Coturnix japonica: one gene and its partners. The protein of the gene in region 6 binds, or shares a complex with, the protein of the main gene of each other region. Links are inferred from orthologs where the notes say so. Each region holds a gene or a part of one and is shown on either strand. Other genes may lie near its edges.

Evidence for each region.
Region 1: MED8 (region 6) and MED31 share a complex: the UniProt entries of both Homo sapiens proteins name them as parts of the mediator complex. The link is inferred for Coturnix japonica from reciprocal best matches to the Homo sapiens genes MED8 and MED31.
Region 2: MED8 (region 6) and MED12 share a complex: the UniProt entries of both Homo sapiens proteins name them as parts of the mediator complex. The link is inferred for Coturnix japonica from reciprocal best matches to the Homo sapiens genes MED8 and MED12.
Region 3: MED8 (region 6) and MED18 share a complex: the UniProt entries of both Homo sapiens proteins name them as parts of the mediator complex. The link is inferred for Coturnix japonica from reciprocal best matches to the Homo sapiens genes MED8 and MED18.
Region 4: MED8 (region 6) and MED23 share a complex: the UniProt entries of both Homo sapiens proteins name them as parts of the mediator complex. The link is inferred for Coturnix japonica from reciprocal best matches to the Homo sapiens genes MED8 and MED23.
Region 5: MED8 (region 6) and MED13L share a complex: the UniProt entries of both Homo sapiens proteins name them as parts of the mediator complex. The link is inferred for Coturnix japonica from reciprocal best matches to the Homo sapiens genes MED8 and MED13L.
Region 7: MED8 (region 6) and CCNC share a complex: the UniProt entries of both Homo sapiens proteins name them as parts of the mediator complex. The link is inferred for Coturnix japonica from reciprocal best matches to the Homo sapiens genes MED8 and CCNC.

The regions. Positions count from the first base shown.
Region 1 is NC_029534.1:8,576,507-8,580,591, forward strand, and holds the start of MED31 (mediator of RNA polymerase II transcription subunit 31), read left to right. Parts: upstream 1-1,285; 5' UTR 1,286-1,446; coding exon 1,447-1,456; intron 1,457-2,657; coding exon 2,658-2,735; intron 2,736-3,325; coding exon 3,326-3,422; intron 3,423-4,085. UniProt on the Homo sapiens protein: Component of the Mediator complex, a coactivator involved in the regulated transcription of nearly all RNA polymerase II-dependent genes.
Region 2 is NC_029519.1:2,315,195-2,318,694, forward strand, and holds part of MED12 (mediator of RNA polymerase II transcription subunit 12), read right to left. Parts: intron 3,213-3,500; coding exon 2,983-3,212; intron 2,538-2,982; coding exon 2,457-2,537; intron 2,234-2,456; coding exon 2,060-2,233; intron 1,723-2,059; coding exon 1,578-1,722; intron 677-1,577; coding exon 558-676; intron 408-557; coding exon 264-407; intron 1-263. UniProt on the Homo sapiens protein: Component of the Mediator complex, a coactivator involved in the regulated transcription of nearly all RNA polymerase II-dependent genes.
Region 3 is NC_029547.1:21,930,463-21,934,037, reverse strand, and holds MED18 (mediator of RNA polymerase II transcription subunit 18), read left to right. Parts: upstream 1-1,310; 5' UTR 1,311-1,423; coding exon 1,424-1,496; intron 1,497-1,662; coding exon 1,663-2,216; 3' UTR 2,217-3,075; downstream 3,076-3,575. UniProt on the Homo sapiens protein: Component of the Mediator complex, a coactivator involved in the regulated transcription of nearly all RNA polymerase II-dependent genes.
Region 4 is NC_029518.1:51,936,080-51,939,579, forward strand, and holds part of MED23 (mediator of RNA polymerase II transcription subunit 23), read left to right. Parts: intron 1-287; coding exon 288-431; intron 432-1,311; coding exon 1,312-1,457; intron 1,458-2,009; coding exon 2,010-2,255; intron 2,256-2,450; coding exon 2,451-2,593; intron 2,594-2,966; coding exon 2,967-3,141; intron 3,142-3,500. UniProt on the Homo sapiens protein: Required for transcriptional activation subsequent to the assembly of the pre-initiation complex. Component of the Mediator complex, a coactivator involved in the regulated transcription of nearly all RNA polymerase II-dependent genes.
Region 5 is NC_029530.1:10,498,891-10,502,390, forward strand, and holds part of MED13L (mediator of RNA polymerase II transcription subunit 13-like), read left to right. Parts: intron 1-743; coding exon 744-876; 3' UTR 877-3,500. UniProt on the Homo sapiens protein: Component of the Mediator complex, a coactivator involved in the regulated transcription of nearly all RNA polymerase II-dependent genes.
Region 6 is NC_029523.1:17,388,685-17,392,810, reverse strand, and holds the start of MED8 (mediator of RNA polymerase II transcription subunit 8), read left to right. Parts: upstream 1-1,326; 5' UTR 1,327-1,406; coding exon 1,407-1,412; intron 1,413-3,352; exon of another isoform or gene 3,353-3,370; coding exon of another isoform or gene 3,371-3,376; intron 3,377-3,837; coding exon 3,838-3,956; intron 3,957-4,126. Other genes in the region: KICSTOR complex protein SZT2, read right to left, coding at 1-155, 758-931, 1,038-1,163, 1,297-1,326. UniProt on the Homo sapiens protein: Component of the Mediator complex, a coactivator involved in the regulated transcription of nearly all RNA polymerase II-dependent genes.
Region 7 is NC_029518.1:64,955,311-64,958,810, reverse strand, and holds part of CCNC (cyclin-C), read right to left. Parts: intron 2,856-3,500; coding exon 2,788-2,855; intron 2,460-2,787; coding exon 2,380-2,459; intron 1,018-2,379; coding exon 899-1,017; intron 395-898; coding exon 340-394; 3' UTR 1-339. UniProt on the Homo sapiens protein: Component of the Mediator complex, a coactivator involved in regulated gene transcription of nearly all RNA polymerase II-dependent genes.

The DNA of each region.
Region 1 (4,085 bases), on a different chromosome or scaffold from region 6:
GCTCTCAAAATGCATTAGGAAAACAAGGGTTCAGCACCAGTGCTCAAACAGAGAATAGGGTTAGCAGTTCAGCTCCTATAAAAAGTGAAACTGAGGCAGTGATGTTATGATTTGATGATGATAAAAAGGAAAATTCTTGGCTCAAACACACAGCTTAATACCTCTTCCCTGAAAGTCTGACTAAGCTAATATTTAAAAGCATAAATAAATCCAGCTTTTCCTAGAGAATGTTCTTAGTTTTTGTAATATGACTCCAACTTTCAATTTTGTTCCTAGTTTTGATGGCCAAGAATTGCGTTCTTGCACTTTACTCTGGCAAACCTACGTAGTAATTTAATTCATGTGACCAAGCCTTTCTTAGGATTCTCTCCTCTGAAGTCAGTCTTGGGAGATACATCGTGTTCCAGAATAGCACTGCCAATGCGTGGGATATGTTTGATCTCTGCTTTTAGACAAAAGTCTGTATTTACTGGGGAGTGACCTGCTAATTCTGTTATAGTAATGGTAGTACTCCACAACCACTAAAACCTTGGGGAAAAAAGAAACAAAACACAAAATTATTTTATTAAGGAAAGCAATGCAGAAGTCTTTTTTTAGGTGGTCTTATAGCCTAATTTCTATTGGGGCTGGAGGGGAACAGTTACACTACATAGAAAGAGATAGCACTACAGGAAAATGCTGAGACACTGAAAATAGTTTAACAAATCACAAATTTTAAAAAAGAATTAGGATTCGTGTTGAGCCTGTATAGTGCAAACTGTTACACAAGTGCCTAATAATGCAATCATAGCAGCAATGGAACTCAGGTAGCTTGACAGTGCTAAACCCCACCAGTCTTTGTTTTAACCAAGATATGAACATCCAGTGTGTGACCCCAGACATGAATGCAGCATTAGGAATAAATCTGCAACCTAAGTGCTGAACTCTTCTCCAGGTGCAATAGCATAGTGCTGTTCTGCACCCCTGGCGCATCTGTTTAACTGGTTTCACTACGACATAACTTCTTAATAAATAAACTGCAGAGGTTGTGTGAGATCAGCTCAGCATGAGCTGCCAGGGGGAAAGGGGAAAGGGAACGGGAAAGGGGAAAAGGGAAAAAGGGAAAGGGAAAAGGGAAAAAGGAAAAGGGGAAAGGGAAGAAAGAAAAGCACACACATGCCTAGGAAAAAATCCATCCCAGAACATTGCTCCTACAGGTACCTTCCAATCGTACTGCCTGTCTGGTAACAGCTCTCTTTCAAGACAAGGGGAAAAAAAGTTGCTCCAACTTTAGTTTATTTCAAAAGGTCATTTTCTACACAACTCGCATCATTAACGCAGCTCCTCACCACCACAGACCTTCCCATCTTGCCTCGTTGCGCCTCCCGCCTAACTCCCGCCTGCCGACAGCGGGCGCTCCCGCCGCCATTTTGAGGCCGGGCGGGGAGCGGAGCCCAGCACGCCGCCATGGACGCAGGTGAGCGGCGCGGTGCGGTGCGGTTCGGGCAGGGCGAGCGACTCCGGGCCACGGAGAGCGTCGGTGGTCCTGCCGTGCAGAGTTCGGGCGGTTCGGGAGCGATGGGCCGACAGGCTCCGAATCGTTTTCCTCGGGAGGGGCCCGGGGCGGTCCTGCTGCGCTGCCCTCCCGGCTTGGCCCTTCTCAGGCCGTTGGCCCCGTTGGGGCCCTTCGCGACGTTCATGGAGACACCGCGGCTCTTACCTGCCCGGACGCCATGGCAGCGGACATCCCACGTTGCATCTGTGGTCGAGGAGCTGAATCTTTTATAGACCCCGAGTGTTTGGATGGAGGGGACTTTATTTACAGATCGGACCTCCCGCCAGAGCGGCCTGCGCGGTGCCCCTTCCAGCCTTCCCTTGTGCAGCTCCAGGGATGGGGCCCCCACAGAGAGGGGCGGCCCGTGCCGGGGCCTCACCGCCCCTCGGAGAAGAATTTCTTCCTAACATCTAACCTGAGTTTCCTATTGTTTGAGTTTAAAGCTGTTCCTTCTTGTTCTGTTGTTTTCAGTCAGGGTGGAAAGTCAACATATTTTTCTATAAGCTCCCTTTCCACGCTGAAAGACCAGAGTGAGATCTCCCTGAGCCTTCTCCAGGCTGAGCAAGCCCAGCTCCCTCACCCTTTTGTCATAGGACAGCAGAATCTTGTGCTGACCCCTGGGTCTGTCATCAGTGCCTACTGTACACCAATAGTGTGAGAACACTGCAGGATTCTCACTAAACTGAGACATCTCTGTACAAAACAAACAAAACAAAAAGCAGCCTCACGGTAAGCATTTCTTAAATTATGTGCAAGGAGGCTTTCAGTGAGCTGCTGGTAGTGTTCTTTTCTTGCCTTCTTATATTTTCCTTGCACTAAAAGCAGGCCCCTTTCCCTTCCCTTTTCATATATTCTACATAAAGTGTCAGAGAGCATTTCTCCATTATTTGCATCGTTTTTAGTTGTTAAAAAAACAAACAAACAATAGTACATGTATTAACATGGGCCCAACACTTATTCATGTAATAGAAAAGACTGCTAGATGAGCCCATACTTGTGGGCTCTTGGTGCTTTATCTCCTCTCTAAACGTTTCTATTTTTGTGGCTCAAGTTGAGAAACTTACTTTTAAATCTGCCATGTAAGTCCAGTTTTTACTGTTTTTTTTTTTTCTCTTGTATTCAGATGATACAGGAAATCGACTTAGGTTCCAGTTGGAGTTGGAGTTTGTTCAGTGCCTAGCAAATCCCAATTACCTCAACTGTGAGTACTTAATGTCAGGGATCCTGAGAAGTTAATGTTATTTAACAGTTTAATGATTACGTGTAATGGTAAACTGTGTGTGTGTGTGTGTGTGTGTGTGTGTGTGCAGAGGCGAAGGGTAAACAAAGAAAAGGGAAGAGATCTTTAAGGAAAAAAGTAGTCTGAGGATAATTTAATTTGTCCGAATTTCAAAGGTGAGGTAGAAGAGGGAGGAGATGACACCTTTAAAATGTGAAATGATTATTTCTTGAAATAAAACACAACTGTCTGGTGGAGAATAAGTGCACATCTGTAGTAGAAAATAAATAATAATAATTACATTTCAATCTTAGAAGTACTCATATCTGAAACCAACATTTCACTAATGCTTATAATAGTTTCAGGTGGAATTCTTAATTTCTTTGGTTTTCCCTGACAGTTTTGATGTCAGAAGTTCCTATTTTTGAAGACATCGCATCCTTGTTGCTGTATAAAAGTTATATGCTAACTCACTATGCTTAACTTGTATTAGAGTGTTGACTTAAGATATATTTTTCCCTTTGTGTTTTTTTTTTATTGAGTTGTAAAAAATTCCTTGTCTCTTATTTCAGTTCTTGCACAAAGAGGATACTTCAAAGACAAAGCTTTTGTAAACTATCTTAAATATTTACTGTATTGGAAAGAACCTGAATATGCAAAATACTTGAAGTAAGTATTAAAAGCCCTCAGGTTTCTGCATTTTAATGATTTTTACCTTCTCTTATGCACTGTAAAGTAGCATGTGCATATTTGATTTCTCCCTGCAGCCAAAACATGCACTGTGTTTATATGCAGTATAAATTTTCCTGTTTCCTGTAGTCTGGGATAGGCACAATTAAAGAACGTTTCATTCTTGACATATGCATGGAATTTTCCATTTGCAACCTTTATCTGCACCTTCTATCTGCATAAAGCAAGATTACTGAACATCACGGGACAAAACTACTTCAGCCCATTAAGAACATTCTGAGAGTGATTTTTGCCCTGTTGATAGCTACACAAAGAATCGTTTTTTTTCATTTTTTTAATTAATGTTTAAACTCAGTTATTGAAATTTTTTTTGTTTACTTCAAATGAGCTCTGGAAAGAGCTATTTAATTAATTAGTTTTTGTTTTAATGAAATCTAGTATTTATAAAAGTTATTTTAATCAGCTCCGTGTATGTATTTATATTGTTATTGGATTCCCTGTTTTCTAGCCTTGTAGTTACTGAAGGTATTAAGTTACAGTGTATGGAAAAGGTACAGCGCTCACTGTTTCAGGTACTTGAGTAAGGCACTAAATGACTAAAATAATGGAGAGATACTGGAGACTCCAGTTCTAGTGCACCTT
Region 2 (3,500 bases), on a different chromosome or scaffold from region 6:
GAGGTGCAATGTAAATCCTTTGGAAACAACCCTGAAAACCTTTGGAAGAATAATCATTCCAACAGGGCACATAAGACTATCTGCTGCAAACAACCCATTCCTAACAGCTGCAGCCCAGGAGAACTGCAATGACTATCAGTTCTGACCACCTCCACAACACAGGTCAGAGAACCCTAACAGAAGCCCAGCTATCACAGCACGTATCTCCTGCCTTTCAGGCTGATGAACTGATTCCCCAGGGAACACTTCAGCACTGTGCTTACCTGGATGGCAAAGTCGATAAGACCACTGATATTGAGTGAATACTCCATCAAGTCAAAGATGAACTGCACATGCTGTACCAGAGGCAGGTGGTAGGACATGCCCAAGGCAAAGCTGGTGATCTGTTCCAAGACATTGCGGGATACCTGCAAGTGTAAGGTGACACATTGTGCTATCTCCCCTTGCAGAAGCCCCTCAGCAGCCCCAACACCTCTTCCCTGCAGGAAGCTGTCCTCAGTAACACAAAGAGATTCAGTCAGGGCCCAAAGAGGACAGCAGTCTTGAAGGTTTCATACCTGAGATGTGACTTGGTGCTGATCAAAGTGAGAAAGGTGCTGGAACTTTGCAAAGATATCTTCAGCTGTTGGGAATGCTTCTGGCTTGCTCTTTTTCCTCTTCTGGCCTTCCTCTCCACCTACAAAAATTGAGAGGACTAGAAAATAGTATCAGGCTACCTTCCTCATCAGAAGAGGAATAGAAAACAGTCATCAGCACATGCCAGGCCCTCAGCAAGACCAGACACTGCCAAGCAGCATGGCCAAAGAACCTGATCCTCCACCTGTAAGCTGATAAGGACCATTATGAATTCACAACAATAAACTGTCAAGGGAAGAATTTCTAGCCAAAGAATGACAGCACAGTTAACATCTAGCTTATCCTGAGTGAAGGGGGAAAATATATTCCCCCCCATTTAGAAGAAACACTGACTCCCTGGTGAGAACAGTTGTTCTGGACTGGAGATGGCTCAGCCCAGAAGCCTGTTAGAGCATGCCACCTTTGAAGAATCACACCATGTTTCAAGTTGGCTTTCAAGAATCAGGCCAACAAAAAGAAAAAAAAAATCCTGAAGCCAGATTCTCAATCAATAGAAATTAGAGGTTTCCTAGCAGTATTGACACAACTATCCAAACCTGCCACCCTAACCAGCATGCTTAGCATAACAGCACACACTACACTGAATCAGGGTATTTGCCTAACATTCACAGGCAAAGCTCCCGCTGCTTTTGTGCAAAGATTTAAATGGTAGAGCTTAAGAAAATAAAGTTTGAAAATGCCACGATTTTCGCCAGGGTCTCACTCTGAAACTGACATGACTTAAGCACCTACCGAAGAAGGTAGATTCAATGGAACACATCTAGGCAGGAGGAAACAAATCTTATTCGCTGCTCATTATTATTTGAGAACAGAGCACCATCCCAGACAGTCAGTGACTGATACAGCCAACCAGGCACTGCAGATCATATGAAATCCTTTCATTGTGAGACTCCAGACAAAGGAGGCAGTCAACTGGAAAGACTGGCTCAAGCAATACTGACCTGTCTCTGCAGTACTCTTTCTGTTTAAAACTTTTAGGATGTCTTTGGTTATTTTCTTGATTGTATGCCGAGCATCGTCCCGTTGTTTTCCAACCCCAAAAAGAACTACCAACCGTTGGTTACATTCATGACTGCATGATTCCTCCTGGGGAACCAAGAGAAAGAACTGCATTAGCAACTATCAAGCTGAATACTTTAATCTTGTTTCACATCTGGATCTCATAAAAGCAAAGAGAAAGCTTCATCTCAGAAGCTGCTCTGGGAGTAAGCAAAGAGGTGTCTTAAGTAGATCACTCTCCTGCAGCAATGCAGAAAAACATGACTGCACTCCTCACCCACCCACAGTAACAGAACAGAAAGAGATCAGGTTCAACTCTGTTCAGTCAGGTTCATGCTTACAGTAGTGCTGCAGGGAAACACAGCAGCCTGGTTATCAGAGCACAAGGCAGCAGCAGGAAAAGGGTTACGAGCAGGTCTCATACCTGAGGAATAGGAAAGTGTGTTGCATACTGGATGTGTCGAGGCTGGTCATACAGAGATGCTAGCATTCCTTCTGCAGACTTGTCCTTCAGCAGAGGCTTTGCTTCCTTTTCAAGATCTGGTTTCTCAGGGGAAGGGCTGGCTTTAGATTCACAATGCATTGGAGGAGAAAACATCTAGGAAGGTGCAAGAACAACAAATCAGTTAGGGAACGTGGTCATGCCATAATTAAGACAGGTGAAAGAAGCCAAGAAGAACTTTTCACAGTGTCTGCTACCTTACAAGTTAGACACTTCCAACATATCAGCTCTACAGTAGAGAGGGAGAACCCACACATGTCCCTGGTGCTAGCACAACATAATCTACTTATGAGTAGCAGGCAAAACAGCAAGCACATACCGAAAAATCTGTTTTCTCCATGTCATCAAAGATCGTGCTGGAATTGTGGTCAATGTCCATAGGCTCAGAGAGACCCGTGTCCTGAGAACAGACAGAGCAGCTTTACATCTCAATAATACACCAGGAAACAAGACAAGACTCATTTACTGCAGCACCCCACTTCCATGTTGGACAGTGACAGCAGTTTGCCAACAAGGATGATGCCTGGCAAACGAAACTCAGCCAGAATCACATATGCTGCAAACACCTGACAACACAGACTGGCCTTGCATAGCACTTGATATGCTGCTCAGAGTAAGATTTTCCTGTCTACCCTGTTACATTCTGCAAGACCTTTCTACCCACTTAGAACACAAGCCTCTACTTTTGCAACTGAAGTGCTAAGGAAATAGCTTGGGGAAATGAGAAACATGAGTCACTGGTCCATCTTCCAGCAAGTAATAGCAAGGAGTCTGCAAAGCTGGTATGAGTGGAGAAGCAGAACAAGAGGAAGCACATAAAAGAGCTGCGTATCTTGTATTCTCACCTCTAGCTTGATCCCACTGTTTCCTTCTGTCTCCTTCCTGTCATGCTCCTCAGCAGGGTCATCAAAGGGTGAGGGAGGACGAGGTCCATGAGAATCCATGGCAAGATCACCCCGGGAGATGAGTGTGCACATGTAGATATTGTGAGAGAAGACATCATGTCGGATTAGCTCACAGAACAGCAGCACCAGGTTAAAAAACTCCACCTTCTCATTCTCCTTCCCAGGATCAGCTGAAAGGAGAGCAAAGACAGACAGTGCTATCAGAGTTCCTCCGTAACACTAAGAGCAGCAGCAGATACCACACCTACACCCACAGAGAAAGCATTTCTAGAGATCTCAATACTCTAAGTGACTGATACACAGTTCTGAGACTGCAGCAGAAGTCAGAACCAGAAAGCCCACCTTCAACAGGTGGCAAATAAAGAAGTGAAAATCTTTCCATTTAGAGGTACAGGATTTTAGACTGAAAGTGCCATCCCTGGGTATACAAACACACAGTTCCCCGCATCATTCAGAAT
Region 3 (3,575 bases), on a different chromosome or scaffold from region 6:
TATTACAAACTATCTTTTGTTCTCGGTGTTTGACACTTATTCCCCAGGAAGAGGTGTGAATCTACTGCTTACACTGAGATAAATGAAGTCAGAAAATCACACTGTTCTGTAATACTACAGGGTTGGGGTTGTTTTGTTTTTTGTTTTATTTTATTTTTTGCTTTAATTCCTTTTAAACTTTTTTGAGGGGGAATATTTATTTTAAGATTTTTTTTTTTTAATGGAATGTACTAATTAAGGGAATTCAGTGAAATGTCATGTTAATGCAACAGATTTTGTATTAAAATTCTGTACTTGGACCAGTGAAGCAGTCTCAGGTGTTCTTAATGTAATATAGAAAACACAGGCGTGTTCTGGTTTGATTCACCTTCTGGAAGGTTGCTGTCAGCATCACCCTGTCCAGCTGATCATGGGAGGAGAACTGTTCATGTGCTTGATGATCTTCTTAGGGGGCAGAGGTGGTGGCAGATCAGTGGTTTGGCCTAGATGTGTTCGCTACAGGAATGTGGTGGAGCTTTTAAACGGGTGTCTAGCAGAGGTGCTCTTTAAAATTCAGCTTCAATGTAAGTCATATGGGTTGTCTTGTAGTGCATCACCAAATCAACATTATTGTAATGAGCTCACAAAGCTGCTGTGCAAGCATGAAGACGTACTACATGCTAGATATGCTACGACAGCATGCAAATACCATGGATGCACATCTTCCTGGAGTATTGTTAATAGCTGTCACTTTATTTGAGGAAGATCTACTTTATTTCTGTGTTCACTCAGTGAGCTTATTTAAAGTAACGCTGTACTGACAATAAACAGTGGCTCAACGTTCATTATGATGGATTTAACTGGCTGTAGAATTAACATTTTGTATTATGACTAAGTCGTGTACATTTTGGTACAGAACTTCTTTTTCAGTTTGAGTAAAATAATCCTAGATTTACTGGCTTAATTGTGATACTTTCAGATTACCTCATGATGCAGTGAAATAACCTAGCAAACAAAAGGTTAAGGAAAACTGTCCAGCATACAGTGCAGTATTAAAGACTGAAGTGGGTCTGTGATACCAGCACTTCTCACCTGGTATTGCAGAAGCCGTTACATTAAAAAAATCCCTTTACAAGTACATCAAAGTAAGAGGAGAACCAAGGAAAATGCCCAACCTTTACTTGATGCAGCGGGGAACGTGATCACTGAGGAGAAGGCTGGGATTCTCTGAGGAGGAGAAGGCTGAGTTCCTCGATGCCTTCTTTACATCTGCCTTTAAGGGGCAGTGCTGTGTGCTTGGGGATGAATAACTGGATGTCTGTGAGGAGGAAAGGGAGCTGGTCGATGTTCGGCTGCTCCTCACCGCCAGGCCGCACTGTGGCGCCCGCCTCCTCCTTCAGGCCTTGCCTTTCTTCCCGCCGCCATCTTTACCACAGCCGCCAAGATGGAGGCGCCTCCCGTCACCATGATGCCCGTTACGGGCGGCACTATTAACATGATGGAGTACCTGCTGCAAGGTATGGCCGGCACACAGGGGCTGTACACGGGGCTCGGCCGCAGCGTGGGGCCGAGGCGGGCGGCGAAGGGGAGGTACCTCCCCGCGGAGGCCCCTTCGCCGCCTGCCTCGGCCCCGCGCTGCGGCGGGGAAGGGGCCATCGTCTGAGCCGTGTGTGTCCACCACAGGGAGCGTCCTGGACCAGAGCCTGGAGAGCCTGCTGCACCGCCTGCGTGGGCTGTGCGACAACATGGAGCCGGAGACCTTCCTGGACCACGAGATGGTGTTCCTGCTCAAGGGGCAGCAGGCCAGCCCCTTCGTGCTGCGTGCCCGGCGATCCATGGATAAAAGCGGCATGCCATGGCACCTGAGGTACCTGGGGCAGCCGGAGATCGGAGATAAAAACCGACACGCTTTAGTGCGAAATTGTGTGGACATCGCCACCTCGGACAACCTGACGGATTTCCTGGTGGAGATGGGGTTCCGTATGGATCACGAGTTCGTGGCTAAGGGACACGTGTTCCGAAAGGGGATCATGAAGATTGTGGTGTATAAGATCTTCCGTATCTTGATGCCTGGTAACACGGACAGCATCGAGCCGCTTTCCCTCTCCTACCTTGTAGAGCTTAATGTTGTGGCACCAGCCGGACAGGATATGGTTTCTGATGATATGAGGAACTTTGCAGAGCAGCTGAAGCCTTTAGTACACCTGGAAAAAATTGACCCTAAGAGGTTAATGTGATGAAAACTGGCTTGACTATCATAGCATTGCTGTAGCCAGAAGTGAGTGCAGGGACTGGTTGGAGTCCTATGCACACAGAACTTTTGTTCAGGGCTCCACTGCTTCCTCTCTGTGCTGGAGCAGTAAGCAGTATTAAGGTGCAACACTTATAAATAGAGATATTGACTTTATGTTGTTGGGGAGCAAGGGGTAAAAGGCTTTGATGTATTGGTTTTGTTTTTGTTTGATGCTCAGCCAGCATTTGGTATTTGGTTATGCAGGTTACATATATGCATAAGAGCAGAATGTATGTAATTCCCAGAGATGGAAGAGAATAAAAGTCTGTTTAGTGCATTATTCATTGGATAGTCGGTCCCTGATGTCTGAAAGGAGTAGTTGCAGGAATTGCTTAGTTTTAGATTTGAAAGACCTGAAAGATTCCCTCCTAGCAAATCCAGACTGGGAGCTGTTTGTTATTGGAAGCAGCTTTGTTGTTAGTGTAGAACAGGAAGCTCTGGGTCTGCAATTATAACCTGGGGGGAAGAAACAGAATTAAGACCCTTCACAGCCAATATGTTGGCTCAGAAAGTTGAGCCCAGTGCCCCCGAATGTGCCTGTAGAGAGTCAGGTGGATGGGGCCAGGCTTTGACTGTTGTTGCCCAGTGTTGGGACACAGGAAGGTCCATCTCAAAGTGAGGAATTACTGCTTCATTTGGGGGTGACGTGGAGCAGGCTGCACAGAGAGGCTCCTTCCTGCTTACAGCCACTTCCATCAGCCCAGCACGATGCATTAGTTTCACAAAAGCAAGGTCAGGCATCCCACTATTTCTGTGTTTTTGTGCTCTTTGTATGTTTTATTAAAAATATATCTTCAAAAATACCCGTCAGCTATTTGCATTAATTTTGTATTTTCTTTGCAATTCTTTTTCACTCAATACAAGCCAGTATTTTGGGCAAACATGAAGTAGTCTTCATTTCTCAAGATCATTATGGAAACGTACAACCACGCTGCCTTTTACTAAAACACACCAATTGCTGTCAGTCGCTGTCATGCTTTAACAGCACGAATGTTGCTGTATCTCCAGCACTCCTCAGCCCTGGGTCTCCATTCTCCCCACACACTCTCCCCTAATGTTGTTATTTCTGTACAAATGAACACAGAAGCTGAAGTACAACTTTGGAAGCACTCTATATTGTCTAACATGCTTCTGATATGCGAGTGCAGGGTGAGACGTTTCACACATCAACAGCTTATGTGGATATTCCAGCTTTCACTTCAGCAACCTCGGTAACACAGTCAAGCTGCTTTCTGCTAAGTGCTTTACATACACTGTAGTGTATGTGTATGAAGCGGCATACAGCTTCAGACACAACCCAAGG
Region 4 (3,500 bases), on a different chromosome or scaffold from region 6:
GCTCCCCAGGGAGGTGGTTGAATCACCATCCCTGGATGTGTTTAAGAGCCATTTGGATGTGGTGCTCAGGGATATGATTAGTGTAGGGCTTTTAGAGTTAGGGTACTGGTTAGGCTGCGGTTGGACTAGATGACCTTTAAGGTGTTTTCCAGCCTGGGTAATTCTATGATTCTATGATAACCTCTGAAAACTGGAACCATTTTAGCTTCCTCTTTTAACGGTATCTTTGCAGTGATTTTTTTTTTTTTTGCCTTCAGCATTTGTCTGTTATTGAGTGTTTTTGACAGTTGGCAGGCCGTGGCCTCATTAAAGGAAGAGACCATCTGATGTGGGTGCTACTGCAATTCATCTCTGGCAGCATCCAGAAGAACGCACTGGCTGACTTCCTCCCAGTCATGAAGCTTTTTGACCTTCTTTATCCCGAGAAAGAAGTAAGTCTTCTCTTTTATTATTATTCAGCGTGACACCTTTGTACACAGATATTATTATTGTTCTTCAGTTGATATTGCGTCAATGTGCTGTGTAGTTGGAGATGCATATAATTAAATGAAAGATTTCCAGTGCTTCCAGCTGTGTTTTTTCAATAACCATGAGCAGTGTTTTAGTTGTTTTGTGTTTTTTTTTTAACTTCAAAACAACAACAAACACAACCAAAGTCTTAAAGTCATGTGTTCCCTAAGTTTTGTTTGACTAAGGTTTTGAGAAGGTGTTTGTTAGAGCCCTGAGAATATACTATGGAGGAATAGTATACAGATTCATTGTTACATCTGAGAATATATTATCAGATACTTTTAGGTGCAAGTAAAATGAACAAGGCACTTTAAATTTGTTTAGTATTAATGACTGCCTAAAATTCTTTCTGTAATCTTAAATCAGTTCCTAGTTGTGCTTGGTATGTTCTAGAATGAAGGTTGTTGAGGTAGGGGAGAGTTAGAGGAAGTTATTAAACCTCCACCACAACAGTTATATCATCAAGATATCCTCATTGTTTGCTTTTACAGTGTCTTCTGTTTTGGGTCAGTAGATAAGTTAACATAAATGTGTGATATACCAAACTGATAAGGTTGAATGTACTGTTTTTTTACTCCTAGCAAAGTTTTTTGACTGACAGAAATTCTGTAGTACAAATTGTTTCGTGACCTCACAAGTGTTTCATTAGCGCAAACTATGAGAAGAGTGACTGCATTGGTTACTTTAACTGTAGTGATGGGCTTTCTTCAAGTTTATGTGGTACTTTGTGAATACTGGCTATGTTGTTTTTCTGTATATCAGTACACTCAACATCATCACTTTGATTGTTCTCTTCTTCAGTGTATTCCTGTACCTGATATTAACAAACCCCAGTCCACTCATGCTTTTGCTATGACCTGTATTTGGATTCATCTGAATCGGAAGGCACATAGTGACAACTCCAAGTTACAGATTCCCATTCCTCATTCTCTTAAGCTTCACCATGAGTGAGTTCTGTTGTTTTTTTTGTTACATTTTGGTTTGTTTGTAGACATAATGGAGTAAGAATCTTTGAGTCTATGTTCAGAAGGCATTGTGTGCTGAGATGTTGTATGAGGGTGATTAAATAATTAAAGCAGAACTGAGATCTTGAAGTAGAAATACTACATAAAGAAATCATTATACGTTAAAGGAAATTAGATTACATCTAAAAGGGATAACTCTTAAATTCTGATGGAGATTCAGAAAGAAAACTGATTACTTTGTTTTATTATGCAATGTGTTGGAATGTGTGGTACATTACATGTTTTTTCTGAAAAAGTCATTTTTGAAGTGTATTTTCCTTTCCTTTCAGAAGAAAATGCAGCCTGAGCAGATTTTTCTAAACAATGATTAGAGTTGTGGCAGCTCTAGTTATTTGATGCAGTGCAGTTGATAAATACTTTTTCCCATTATTTTAAAATGGATTTTTTAACTGGAATTATTGTGGTTCTAGTCCTTGAATCATACATGTACTTGCTTCTTTCTACTTAATGTTTGATGTGTTTTTGGTACTCTAGGTTTTTGCAACAGAGTTTAAGAAACAAAAGTTTACAGATGAATGACTACAAGATTGCCTTGTTGTGCAATGCTTATTCAACCAATTCAGAGTGTTTCACTTTGCCAATGGGTGTCCTGGTAGAGACTATTTACGGAAATGGCAACATGAGGATATCTCTTCCAGGAACTAATTGCATGGCATCAGGGTCTATAACCCCCTTGCCAATGAACCTCTTGGACTCGCTCACAGTTCATGCCAAAATGAGGTAGAGTATACAATTATACAAACATACAATTATACAAATACGGCTTTACAACAAGTGAATCCTTATGTAATTAATTTACAGTATGGAAATATTCCTGTGCTTGAAAATGCTATGTATAGATCTCTTGCTTTATGTCTTAAACATTGTAACTTGTATGTGTTTGTTTTTGACTGAAAAATATTTTCTCTTCCTCAGTTTGATCCATAGCATAGCTACAAGGGTTATTAAGCTGGCTCATGCAAAATCTAGTGTGGCCTTGGCTCCTGCTCTTGTGGAAACCTACAGTCGCTTGCTGGTTTATATGGAAATAGAGTCCTTGGGCATCAAAGGCTTTATCAGTAAGAAAAAAATAAACTCCCTCACCTCAACCCTTCCCTGCTCCTTTAGTTCAGTAGCACGTACAAGCTGTTCTGTATTTAAAAAATAATAATAATAATAAAATAATCTTAAGCAAAGGTTCTAAATTGGGAAGAAATTATATTCAGTTTAACTCCTTATAATACAGATATCAGCTGTTAATGTTCATTTGGAAGATTGAGCTCTATACATGCATGGCATCATAGAACACTGCGTGTATGTGCTATTTGTAATTAATACAACACTCACAAATCAAATGTCTCACTGTAACCATCTGTCAGCAGTGGTGTATCTTGCAGTTACATTTTGAAGCACAATCTCTTGGAAAACATATTTTATGAACTTTTTCCTAAGGTCAGCTCTTGCCAACTGTGTTCAAATCTCACGCCTGGGGAATTCTGCACACTCTGCTAGAAATGTTTAGCTATCGAATGCATCACATCCAGCCTCACTACCGAGTCCAGCTGCTCAGCAATCTTCACTCCTTGGCTGCTGTGCCACAGAGAAATCAGAATCAACTTCATCTGTGGTAAGTGATGGTTACCATGTTTAGTTGTAATCACAGATTTTTTTTTCCTTCAATGTACGTTGAAAGTTGTTTAAGTACTATAATACATTTGAAACAGGATGCAAGTACCTCCCACTCTTAGTTCTGTGACTGTGGTGTTTTGTGGAATCTCAGCAGGCTGCGTTTTGGAGCTACAGTTAGATGTTAGTAGGAGTAGTCTGCAGTTGCAGCAGTCTGTCTCAGACATGGCAGCAGTGTCACAATCAAAAACAGTAACATGCATCAGCGCCATCATGTCAAGATATGTCAGAAAACTGTTGAGCTCCTTCCACAGGAGGAAAGGAGCAATGCAATGCCTGCTGCTTGTAGTCACAGGGACT
Region 5 (3,500 bases), on a different chromosome or scaffold from region 6:
CTGATACCCTCTATCTTAGGAGATGTAGTATAAATGAGACACTTCCTGAATCAACACAGCACTGTTATCTGTCCCAGTGCAGAAGATTAGTAGAAGACTATTTGCCTCCATGTCACCTGTTGGGCACTGAAAAAAAACTTTTATGGGACAGCATATGAGGTCAAACACACCAGTGCACAAATGTGTACATTGCTACCACACAGAGAATATCAATAGGAAATATGAACTACTACTTAACTCAAGTAGATGATACTATGCAGTATTCTAGATCTGAATTTGCATCCTCTTGAATAAAAAGGTGATGCTTTTGGAGGTGCACAAGGAAAGAATGAGGTGCAACAAACTCAGATTAGAACATAAAGAATTCTAGTCAGGCATAAGGAAAAATAATTTCTTTTTTTTCTAAGTTGTCCTCAGAGATGTCCAAGAATCAAGTTTTTTAATACAGTAGTAGACTAAACCTCCAGAGGTTCAGTCCAATATGTAATCCTTGCTATTTAACAGGAGAGGCCTACACTCAAACTGTATGTCAAGTACAAATAAGCTAAGAACAAAAATTTCCCCCCACCTCTACCTGCACGCACTTTGTCCTCACTTTCCTACTTTGCGTGCACCACCAGCATTAATATAGTCCCTTCCACATCGCATCATCAGGGGAAAAAAAGGAGATAAATTTAAGTAAATCTAGAAAAAATGAGAAGTAAAAACTCCAGTTTCATTTTCCTTGCATTTCTCTTTCACAGGTTCGTTTTGGAGCAGTATAATGCACTGTCTTGGCTTACGTGTAACCCTGCCACTCAGGATCGCAGCTCCTGCCTTCCTGTCCACTTTGTGGTGCTCACTCAATTGTACAATGCCATCATGAATATACTTTAATAGATAGAAAAGCACTTGTTCTTCTGGCTTATTCTCCCCTCAACGTGAGAAACGTGCCACAGTCTGCAAAGATCACAGTTTTGCTTCTCTTCAGACCAGTCCTGTGCTGTGCTTCTGTTCCTCCAAAAGCACATGTGAATTCTGCAGTGTTGAAAACACCCATTAACATCTCTGGCAGCTTCAATCCAATTCTGGGAACATCCGAGAACAATGAACACAGAGTAACCTCAAGTCGGCGTTAGTTTGGTGGCCCAGTAACTACTGGTCAGTCTGATTTATTTTTATTTTTATTTTTTAATATTATTTTATTTTTTTAAGGAAGACTACAGTATCTTTTTGGATTAGGAACTCTGCTGAACAACCGTAAGCAGTTTCAGCCCCACAAATGAAACCATCGTGCAGTGACCGCTTTGGGCTGTCCAGAAGTTCTTTGTTCTTTGGTCATCATTAACTGGGACTTGGCAGGAAAAAAACCTACACACCATCATAGTCTCGTATGAATATTGCAATTTTCTGTCTACCTGGAGTTCCTGTCAGAGTGGATTGGGATGAATGCATGCATTTGTTACCTGTCCATGTAGATATGAATGGTCTGGAGATATTTATTTTATTTTTAGGTTTGGGGAGGGGAGGGATTAAATTATAAAGGACCAGGAACAGTAGGATATCTTAAAAACCCAGCTCCGTTCCACCTTAGGGTTATTTATCTACATACCTCTCGCTCTTCTGACCTAGAAATCGAAAAGCTAATAACAATCAGAGTCCCACGTGGGAAGGGGAGCATGTCCTGATAAGGATACACTTGTGTTTTAAGGAATTCTCACCTGCATTTAGCCTGGTTAAAGTAAGGAAAGACCAGTGTTTAATGAAGGATAACACTACCTAATGGAAGAAGAGTAACTGAGAGGTAGGGAGGAAAAATACTTTAAAGTTCTTTAAAGGGCGAAAGGAAAGTGGTAAATTAATCTATTGTAGAGCTATGATTGAAATATATTTCCAGTAAATTTAGTGATACTAGAAAACTATTTACTGAAACCCAGGTCGCCCTGTAATTCTGGGCAGACTCGTCCGTGTACATATCCAAAAATGTGCTTTTTGTTTACACGAAATCAGTTACAAATCTGGTGTATTTTTTCTGACTTATAGGAATATTATTTCAAAGAAATAATTTTAAAAAGAAAATTATATCATTAAATTAGTACTTGAAGTTCTGCCGCTGCGGTGGAAAAGTTACTTTGTTGAGTAAAATGATCGCCATTTGAAAGGTCAATGGCTAATTGAAGTATTTTTATGACTCCTTCATTCCAGGCTCCGAGGGGTTTATATTTAAGCTCCTTTTTTCTGATGTTTGCTGTTGCAGTGTGCAGCAGGCACGGGCTGCTGTGTGCGAGGGGTCGGGCACTTTGATCAGGCGCTGTGACCTATAGCTGTCTATCGGCGGGGGAAAAACCAACACGTTGTAAAAGTTCTTCCAAAAGACTTTCATGTTCTGGTGGGAAAAAATAATAATAATAATAATAATAATTAAAAAAAATGAAATTCTATGATTTTAAAAAGTATTTTTCTTGAGATAATGTAAACATTTAAAGCAAATGATATAAGAATCGCTTGTGTCATGGAAGGGTGAAGTCAGAGAAGTAACCTGTAAATGGATGATGTCGTTCTCTGCACCGAACCTCCCGTGTGGGTTATCCTCTTTGCAATGTATAGGTTAAAAAAAAAAAAAATCTGATATCAAACCATTTGTATCTAATGTGTGTACAGTGTAAAATTGACTTTAAAATATTGCAGTACTATTTTTTCTTAATCAGAAGAGAAAATTCTCAAGGCCTTTTGAAGAGCATCAAAGATGAAGATTGTAAACTTGTATAAAAAAAAAAAATTAACTTGGGGAGGAAAAATGTAAAGTAGCCATTTGTAATCTTTTACCATTTGGGGGTTATTTGTTCCCAAGATTCATCGGGACTTTGGATTATGATTGAGTTTGTTCTTTTTAAATGGGTCATTTTTTATCTAGGGGCATTTCTTCCCCAGAAACCTGGTTCTGTGCAGACATGGAAAATCCAAAAGGGCAGCGAGGAGTTAGTTTTCATCTGGTGTCTTTTATTTAATTTTTTTAAGTTAAGAGAATCTGGTGACATATTTATACGTTTTTGTGCAAAATAAATGAATGGCAATAGATTTTAAAGAAAAATCTTATGTACTTCAGTGTGAAAAGTTCTGTATAATATTTTCCTTAAATATGCATTATTTTACTTGTGAGTTTTTTACTGAATTAATCTGAAATGTACCAAGCCCTGGCTTTCCTACAGAGTGAAGAAAGTTATTTTATTTTTTCTTTTTATTTCTAACTTTGGAAATTCATGGCTAAATCAGAATTATTATTACAGTTGTTTGAGCTAAAGGGAGAGGGAGGGGGGGAGGGACGGGCGGGGAATGTCCAGCATGCTTGTATGTATATTTCAGAACTTTTTTTAAATGTCAAAGCTGTACATTTCTGGGGAGTTCTGAATTTCTTTGGGGGTTTTGGTTTTTTTTGTTTTTTTTCTTGTTTTTTTTTTTTCTTGGGTTTTTTTTTTTTTTCCTCTGAGCATTTTGCAGTGAGCTTCTTTTCTATCTAGCCG
Region 6 (4,126 bases):
CCAATGATGGAGGAGTACGCCTGGATGGTGACAAAGATCTCGGGCTGATAAATAATGTCTGAACCAGGGATTCGGAAGGGCCTTAACAATCCCACTAAGCATCGGGAAAGAGCATGAAACACTTCATCAAAAATGATCTCTCCTGTTGAGTCATCCTACAGAAACAGAAGAGGAGAATTATAGAATCATTATAGCTAAGATTACCTTGTCCAACCATCAACCCATTCCCACCACACCCACTAACTGCACCTCACATCTCCACAGCTTTTGAACACCTCCTCAGTCCTTCTGACCACACTAGTTCTGATACAAGCCAGGATGCCTTCTTGGAGACCTGGGCACACTGCTGGCCCATGTTCAGCCAGCTGTCAGCTAACACTCCTAGATCCTCTCCCTCCATAAAGCTCTCAGCCACAGCCCCTAAATCAGCAGCACTGCATGGGGTAAACAAAACAGCTTTTACATCTTCTGGAATCTGCAATCTCATTGCACCCACCACACAGAGACAAGTACAAGCCTATTTCTGCAACAGCAGCTGCCTCAGAACGACCCCTGCAAGCAGAGGTCACACATTCTGCAAGGAAACAGGATCCACTGCAAGGCTGTGTTGCCAGCAGCAGTGCCTGCTTCAGCCCTCAGGAACACAGGACCCCTGCAGGAGTGACCACTAATGCAGGGACACACATGTTCTCAGCAGAGGGAACCAAGCCTGGTCCTTTAACACAAAACACCCCAGAGAGGCAGCTCCTGGACTCACCACGATGCCAGTGGAAGGGCTCAGATCGAGCTCAATGACAAAGCGGTACTGGCGGGCCAGGAACGTAACGCGCGTGGAGGGCACCAAGAGGTAGGGCCGGGGCTGGACGGGCTCATCCGGCTGCCATCCGTTGGGCAGGATGCTGAGCACATCCAGCTCGTTTTCTGACTTCAACTACAACAAGAAGCGAACGACAAGCATGAAACATTACTCCAAGCCAAAGGACACGCCGAGATGCAGGGCCACCATCCACCCTGCAGCACCCCCGGCCCCCACTCACCAGCTCGGGCTCGGGCACAGCCCAGATGACCTGGTGCAGCCGGCTGAGCACCCAGGCGAGCCGCACGTTGCGGGAGATGCGATAGTCCTTCTTCATCAACAGGAAGACGTGCCCAGCCTCCTCCACCTGCAGCAGAAGCACAGCGCCTCGTCACTCCAGGCCGGGCACCACCACAACCCCCGACCTCTCTACACAGTTCCCGGTCTCAAAGCCGCAAACAACCCCGCCTCCCCTCGCCCCGCAGCGCGTTACCCCTCACCTCAGCCTCGGGCCTCTCGGCAGCCGCCATGTTTGCCCGGCGGCCCCGCCCCGCGCCCTCTGACCTGACTCGGAAGTGGAAGGCTGCCATAACAACAGGGCCGCGCAGCCATGCAGGTGAGGGGCTGTATGGGGTTGAGCAGGGCTGTATTGGGCTGGGCTGGGCTGGGCTGGGCTGGGCTGGGCTGGGCTAGGCTAGGCTAGGCTAGGCTAGGCTAGAGGGAGCAGTAGGCCCGTATGGGGTTCCGCTGTGCCCCGTGGGCCGGGCTTTGGAGGAGTAAAGCAGTGTGCCCAGTTGTTCGAGAAGGTCTATGGTATCTTGGCTCGTGGAGGCTCAGTGTATCCTATAGGAGCGGGGTGGTGGGCGTCCCTCTGTGCTGACATTGGTTGAGGCCGCATCTCGAGTGCTGCGTTCTGTTCTGGGCCCCTTAAGCAAGAAGGGCATTGAGACCTGAGCGTGTCCAGAGATTGCGACAGGGAAAGTGAGGGGTGGAGGCATTACAGAGAGCAGCTGGGGGAGCTGGGATGGTTCAGTCTGGATAAAAGGAGGCTCAGAGGGACCCCATGACTCCCTTAAACTCTCCAAATATTTACAATGGGGTGGAGGTCGGCCTCCTCTCCCAGGTAACAGTGACAGGATCCCTTGCTTTCCTAATAAATCCCATTATTACTTTGATTTCCTCGACTTCTTGAGCCTCAGGCTGATGTTTCCCTGGGTTACCCTCGGATAATCCTCAGATCTTGTTTGTGAGTGATAATGTTATCAGCTCAGAGAATGTCATTGTGTGTGTGTAAAGTCAGGGTTGTTTATTTCTCTTTGTTTCATTGTGTGTATTGCTTTATGTTTATTCTGAATTTCACCTTTACCTCCCAGTCATTCATTATCAGGAGTTCCTTCAGCAGTCTCTCCCGTAAATCCTATTTTATTACCCTGGGACAATTCAGTATTGTTAACAGACTCCTTGAATTGCTGCTTGTATATGTCTGTGAGAGGCAGAGTATTTCTTTGAATCATTGATCTTGGTGCACGTGTGCTTTGCGGTGCTTAAACTTACTTCCAGCTCTCATGGAGAGAGCACACAAAAGGAGGAGGCTCAGACTGCACTGTCACACAGTGTAGTGTGATTTCATTCACAATCTTTAGGGCTTCTTGGATACGCGCTGGCAATGGGCCACACCAGTTGTCTTGGTTGTGTGTACCTGCCACCTCTGCAGTGAGATACTGGCTCCCAGCCCAACTCGTAGTGCTGTCAGTGGTTCATCTTGCTCAAACACAACGTGCACAGTCAGCGTTAGACTTGTTTCTTAAGTGCACAGGAACAGACTAGTCCCATCACAGGATGGCGGAGAGCTGCAGTGCTGTAGCTGTGAGTTGTAACCCCGTGGTTTGCTCTGTTAATCCATGCTGTGGATTGGAAGTGGATTTTAGCCACATTTATTTTGCCATTTCTTCTAAGGTAGTGAAGTCTTATCAGCAGTCTATGGAAAAAAAAACAAAACCTTTATAGTCTTGTCAGACCGTGAGTAGAATAATTTCATGTTCTCTTAAATGTGGAAGATACTTGATGATCTCATGCTAGTTTCAGTTTGTTTAAACAGCACAAGGATCCCAATAGTGAGCGTGCAAGCAGACTGAGTCACCCCATCTGCTTTCCCAATCAGCATTCCCTTTCTATTATTTAACTGTATTGCTGTGTCTCACCCTCCTCGTGGATTATTGTTGTACAGTCCTTGACTTACATTAGCAGTCCATTAGGATTGGGGCTTTAATTACATTTTGTGCAATTCTGTTGAATGAGTAAGAATAGATAAGGTTCTAGAGGGTTTTCGCAAGAGTCGGAGATATTCTGTGCTATATGTGACAACAGGTCTCCTCTCCTATTGCTTTGTATGTCACCATACTCCTCTCAGCTAGGGGAGAAGATTATTTAAGCAGTGCACCAAGGCAAAAGGCAGCAGGTGATCTCTGCATGTGTCTAACTACGTCACTGACACTGCAGCGCCTTCCACAGCTGGTAAGGGACAAGGAATTTTTAGGAGCTGGATGCAGCACCTGGACAGGAAGAAAGTGAGAGATGAGGGTAAGGGCAGAAACTGGAGTCTTTGGGCCACTGATCTGATACTTGTTTTGCAAATGGCTGTGCTGGGTGAAGACATCACTGTGCCTGCTGTCAAAGGGTGCTGAGAATGCTAATCTGCTTTCAGCTGGGTTAGCATGAATAACTCACGGAGGTGGTGCAAGGTAACTTTGATGACTTTGCCTGATGCAAGTGATGTATAGGCTTTACTTATCTAGATCTTAAAAATGACAGCTAGCCATGGGTTGGCTCAGGTACGAGTCTCTTCCTAAATGTTTCTTACAAGGAGACAAGATAAGTGTGAAAATGTAGGATTTTTATCTACGTGGTCTCTGTTTCCTTGCCTTGAAGAGGAGTCTCTCCATAGGAGAGGGTGGAATATGGTTGCAGATGTATGGATCCCCACAGTCCTTGGAAAGGTACAAAGCTTTGTCCTCACCCCTATCTTTCATTCTTTTTTTCAGAGAGAGGAGAAGCAGCTGGAGCTGACCCTGGAGGCACTCATCAGCCAGGTGGCTGACCTGAAGAACTCATTGGTCAGTTTTATCTACAAGCTGGAGAATGAGTACGATCGACTCACATGGTAAGGCATCCCACAGAGACAGGGCACTGTCACTGATCGCTGCTGAAGCTCTTCTAGACTCTGCCCAAAAAGTGTAATTAAAAGCCACTAACTTGCTCTCCACAGGCTTACCTTCACTTTTCATGTTAACGTTGGTGAAACTACTGAGTATCTCCCACCCGAAAAACAGT
Region 7 (3,500 bases), on a different chromosome or scaffold from region 6:
ATATAAAAATCACTTTTAATGGCAAGCCACAATTTTCTCAAAGCAAACCAAACCAGTAATGAACTACTTGTTTTGAGTGGACAGTGTTACCCTTCTGCAGCTTGGTTTAACATTTGATTCCTTACACTGAGAAATCTTAGTACATTTGCTCCAGCGTCAGAGAAAATGATGCAGTTTTAAAGAATAAACTTCCAAAATGCTTGACACAAACAAGCTATTTATTCTTCAAGTTCTTTGTCAAAGATGGTATTAAAAAAATTCTGTCCATTTCATGAACACAGGAAAGATCCCAGGATGTCTTGAGTCAAAGTGGTCCGTAAAGAAGTTCTTTGGAATGTCTTAAGATTGGCTATAACTAGAGTTCTGGCTACCGTTTGGACCCTGTTCTCCTTCACTGTTTGAAAGGAAAAGAAACACGTCTCAGAACAGCAGCACCGTACTGCATTTCTGTCTTTTGCAAACAGAAAACATTTATTCATGTATTTGAACAGCGATTTCAAAATATTCCAATGCAACTCCATTCTGAATTCACTCCTGAAATCAGCGTTTCAGAGTTCCCATAACAGAAGCTCACACATAGGAATTTGCACGTGCAGATTCCACGTAATGATATTTAATCACAGCAATTAAACATGACATCAAACAGGCACTGTTCTAAAGAATCGTGCCCTTTCATCAGGCCTCACACTGCTCCTTTTAAACTGTATTGATCAGATTCTAACTACATTACTGCTTTCCATGAAAGAGCAAATATTCTCCTCCTGAACAGTCTGACTGGGTACTTAGAGGAAAGCCGGCAGTGCAGTCATACACTATGCCTCAAACTTAACATAGCACATAAGATAATACTTTATTTTTTCCCATATGAAAGGTGCAGTAAATAATGGAGGTATGGTACCTGTTTGGAGGTGGTTTTGGTTTAGGCATTTTGCTAAGGATAGTAGCCATCTCTTTTCTCTCATCAAAGTTCTTCCACTGCTCATACAGCTTCAGAATAACCCTGATTATTTCTAAAATCTGATTTGAAAGAAAGTACATTTTAGGTCAATCACAATAGTGACTTTTATATTTATATCATCATTTGCAGTGTACAGTTAATTATCCATTTCTCAAACTCAAATTAAGAAGCATAATTCTCATGATAGAAACAGAGCTGTCTCCTATATAATCCGGTCTGGCAATCAACCATTTTTGCAAAGAGTTTTTTGGCTTAACTGTTGAACTGAAGCCTGACAGAACCAATATCTCTCTCTCCCACTCCATTTCCCTCCCACTTTATCAACCATTTCTCCTCCCAAAGTCGAACGGCTGCTTATATTTGATGCTACTGGGAAAACAAGGACACTTGGCAACGTGTTTGTTGCTAAATGATTACGGATTACAAATGAAGTAACTGATTATTGTCTGTGTTCTATACCAGCCATGGGGGCACAGTACTAAAAACAAATGAAACCAACCAACGGTGCCCTGAATTCTTTACTTCCAAAATAATAATAAAAATAAAATTAAAAAAATCAAGAGCTAGGAAGTGTCTCAATACTTTATAATAAGAACTGTTGAATTTTCAAACTCTATTTCCAGAAGTATAAATATTCTCTACCAGTTTGGAGGCTACATTAATTTCCTGTTAATTTTCTAGTGCAATATTCTACACAGAAGGTGGATAAATACTGAATAACCCCACTTGCAAGGGACCCACATGGATCAGGTCCAACTCCAGCTTCACAAAGTGCCACCCAGAAATCAAACCATGTTTGCTTCATTATTTGTTTCGCCACTTACTAAATTAATGAAGTAAACTTCTTTCCAGTTTATGGACTTTGATCAAATGCTAGAACAATATACATCCTTGAACCAGAAACTATGTTTGGCTATGAAGTTCCATAGTGTTAAAGGTTAAAAATAATAATAATAATCTAAAAATTAATTTTTTTTAAAAAAAATCAAGCTTAGATGTAATCACTGGTAATGGGAACAGAAACGTTTAAACATTCAAACACATTCAACACCAAGCCTATGATAACCTTACATGTCAAACATATGTTGTTTATTAGAATACTGTTCAATCTTGAGCAATAAATATTGGGAATTCTTTTTTCTTCTAGCAAAAAAATTAAATAAACAAACAAGATACTGGTTTTCTATTTCAGTCTGTAAAATGGCAACAGCAGCAATGCTCTGCCCTTATGTCTTGTCTTTCAGTGCAGAGTGATACCCAAATGACCTGACATTTCCTATCTCCTACCTAATTTCAATAGTCCGTAATGCGATTGCTGAATGAAGTTCAAATCAGTATCACACACATGCAAAACAGGTTCAAACCACTGCTAACATTTCTAGTCAGTCCATAGCAGAGGGCAGGAGGTAAAAAGAGAGTACCTTTTCCATATCAACAGATAGCTCAGCAAACCATTGCCTCGCATCCTTCTGCTGGACAACACAGGCCACGTGTAGGCAAGCTGCAAAGATCAGGTGATAAGAGTGAATCATTGTTGAGTATCTCTTAATACACTTAGAAATACTCTCCAAGTCAGGTACTTTTCTATGGTGTTTGGAGTTCCTCAGTTCCTCTGCAAAAAATCTCAGCGAGTTTTCAAAGAAGAAATCTGGGGATTAATTACCTGATTTTTCTTCAAGGCTTTCTAAGTTGCAAGGTTATACTGTCAGTACTGTATGAAATATAAACTGGAGAAGCTTAAGAGAGCGTACTAAGGAAAACTTGTTGATGGGACAAAGTACAGAAGGCATCTATTTAAAGGTGACAGTGACGTTACTTGTGTTACTTACCTAGAGCTATCATGAAAGGAGGGTACAGCAGACAAAGATCAGTTCTATACGTGTCATTCACTATCCTCCTGTGCAAAACAAAGAGAGCATAACAACTCCTTTAGACTACATGATTCATAAACATTTTGCCAGTTACCCATGTGGTAGAAACAAAGAGTATACAGGGCAAAATAGAGAAAGTGAGATCTCTTCCTCTTTAAAAGTCTATTAAAGACAACCATTGTTTTCCTTGCAATCACTGCAGAAGTCTGTTTGGAAACACTATTATAACATCATCAGTGCCATTCTGCAGAGTGTGTTCTCTTCTACCATAAATTAATTATCCCTGCTCCGCAAATAAGCAAATTGAAGCAAAAGTAAAGGTAGTATTTTTATTGTCTGTATTGGAGAAACAATTAAAGTGTTTAAGGAGTTCTGTTTTACCAGTCTAAGAAACAGAACCATGTACTGCTTTTACTGAAAGCTGACTCTAACAGAAAGATAGCTGTGTCTACACAAAGTCGACATTTAACAGTGTAAAAATGGTGCTATTGGAGCTGTTCTAAAAATAAAAACCAGAGCATTTCAAAGTAGAAACCATTACAGGGTTAAAAACAATAATTTAAGCCAGTGACACGTGTGCATAGGTTAACTAGTATACCCTTTGTATTATTTAGCCTGCTAAGCCATCTCTGAGGCATAACTGTTAAACACTCGCTTTCTTGCTGAAAGGA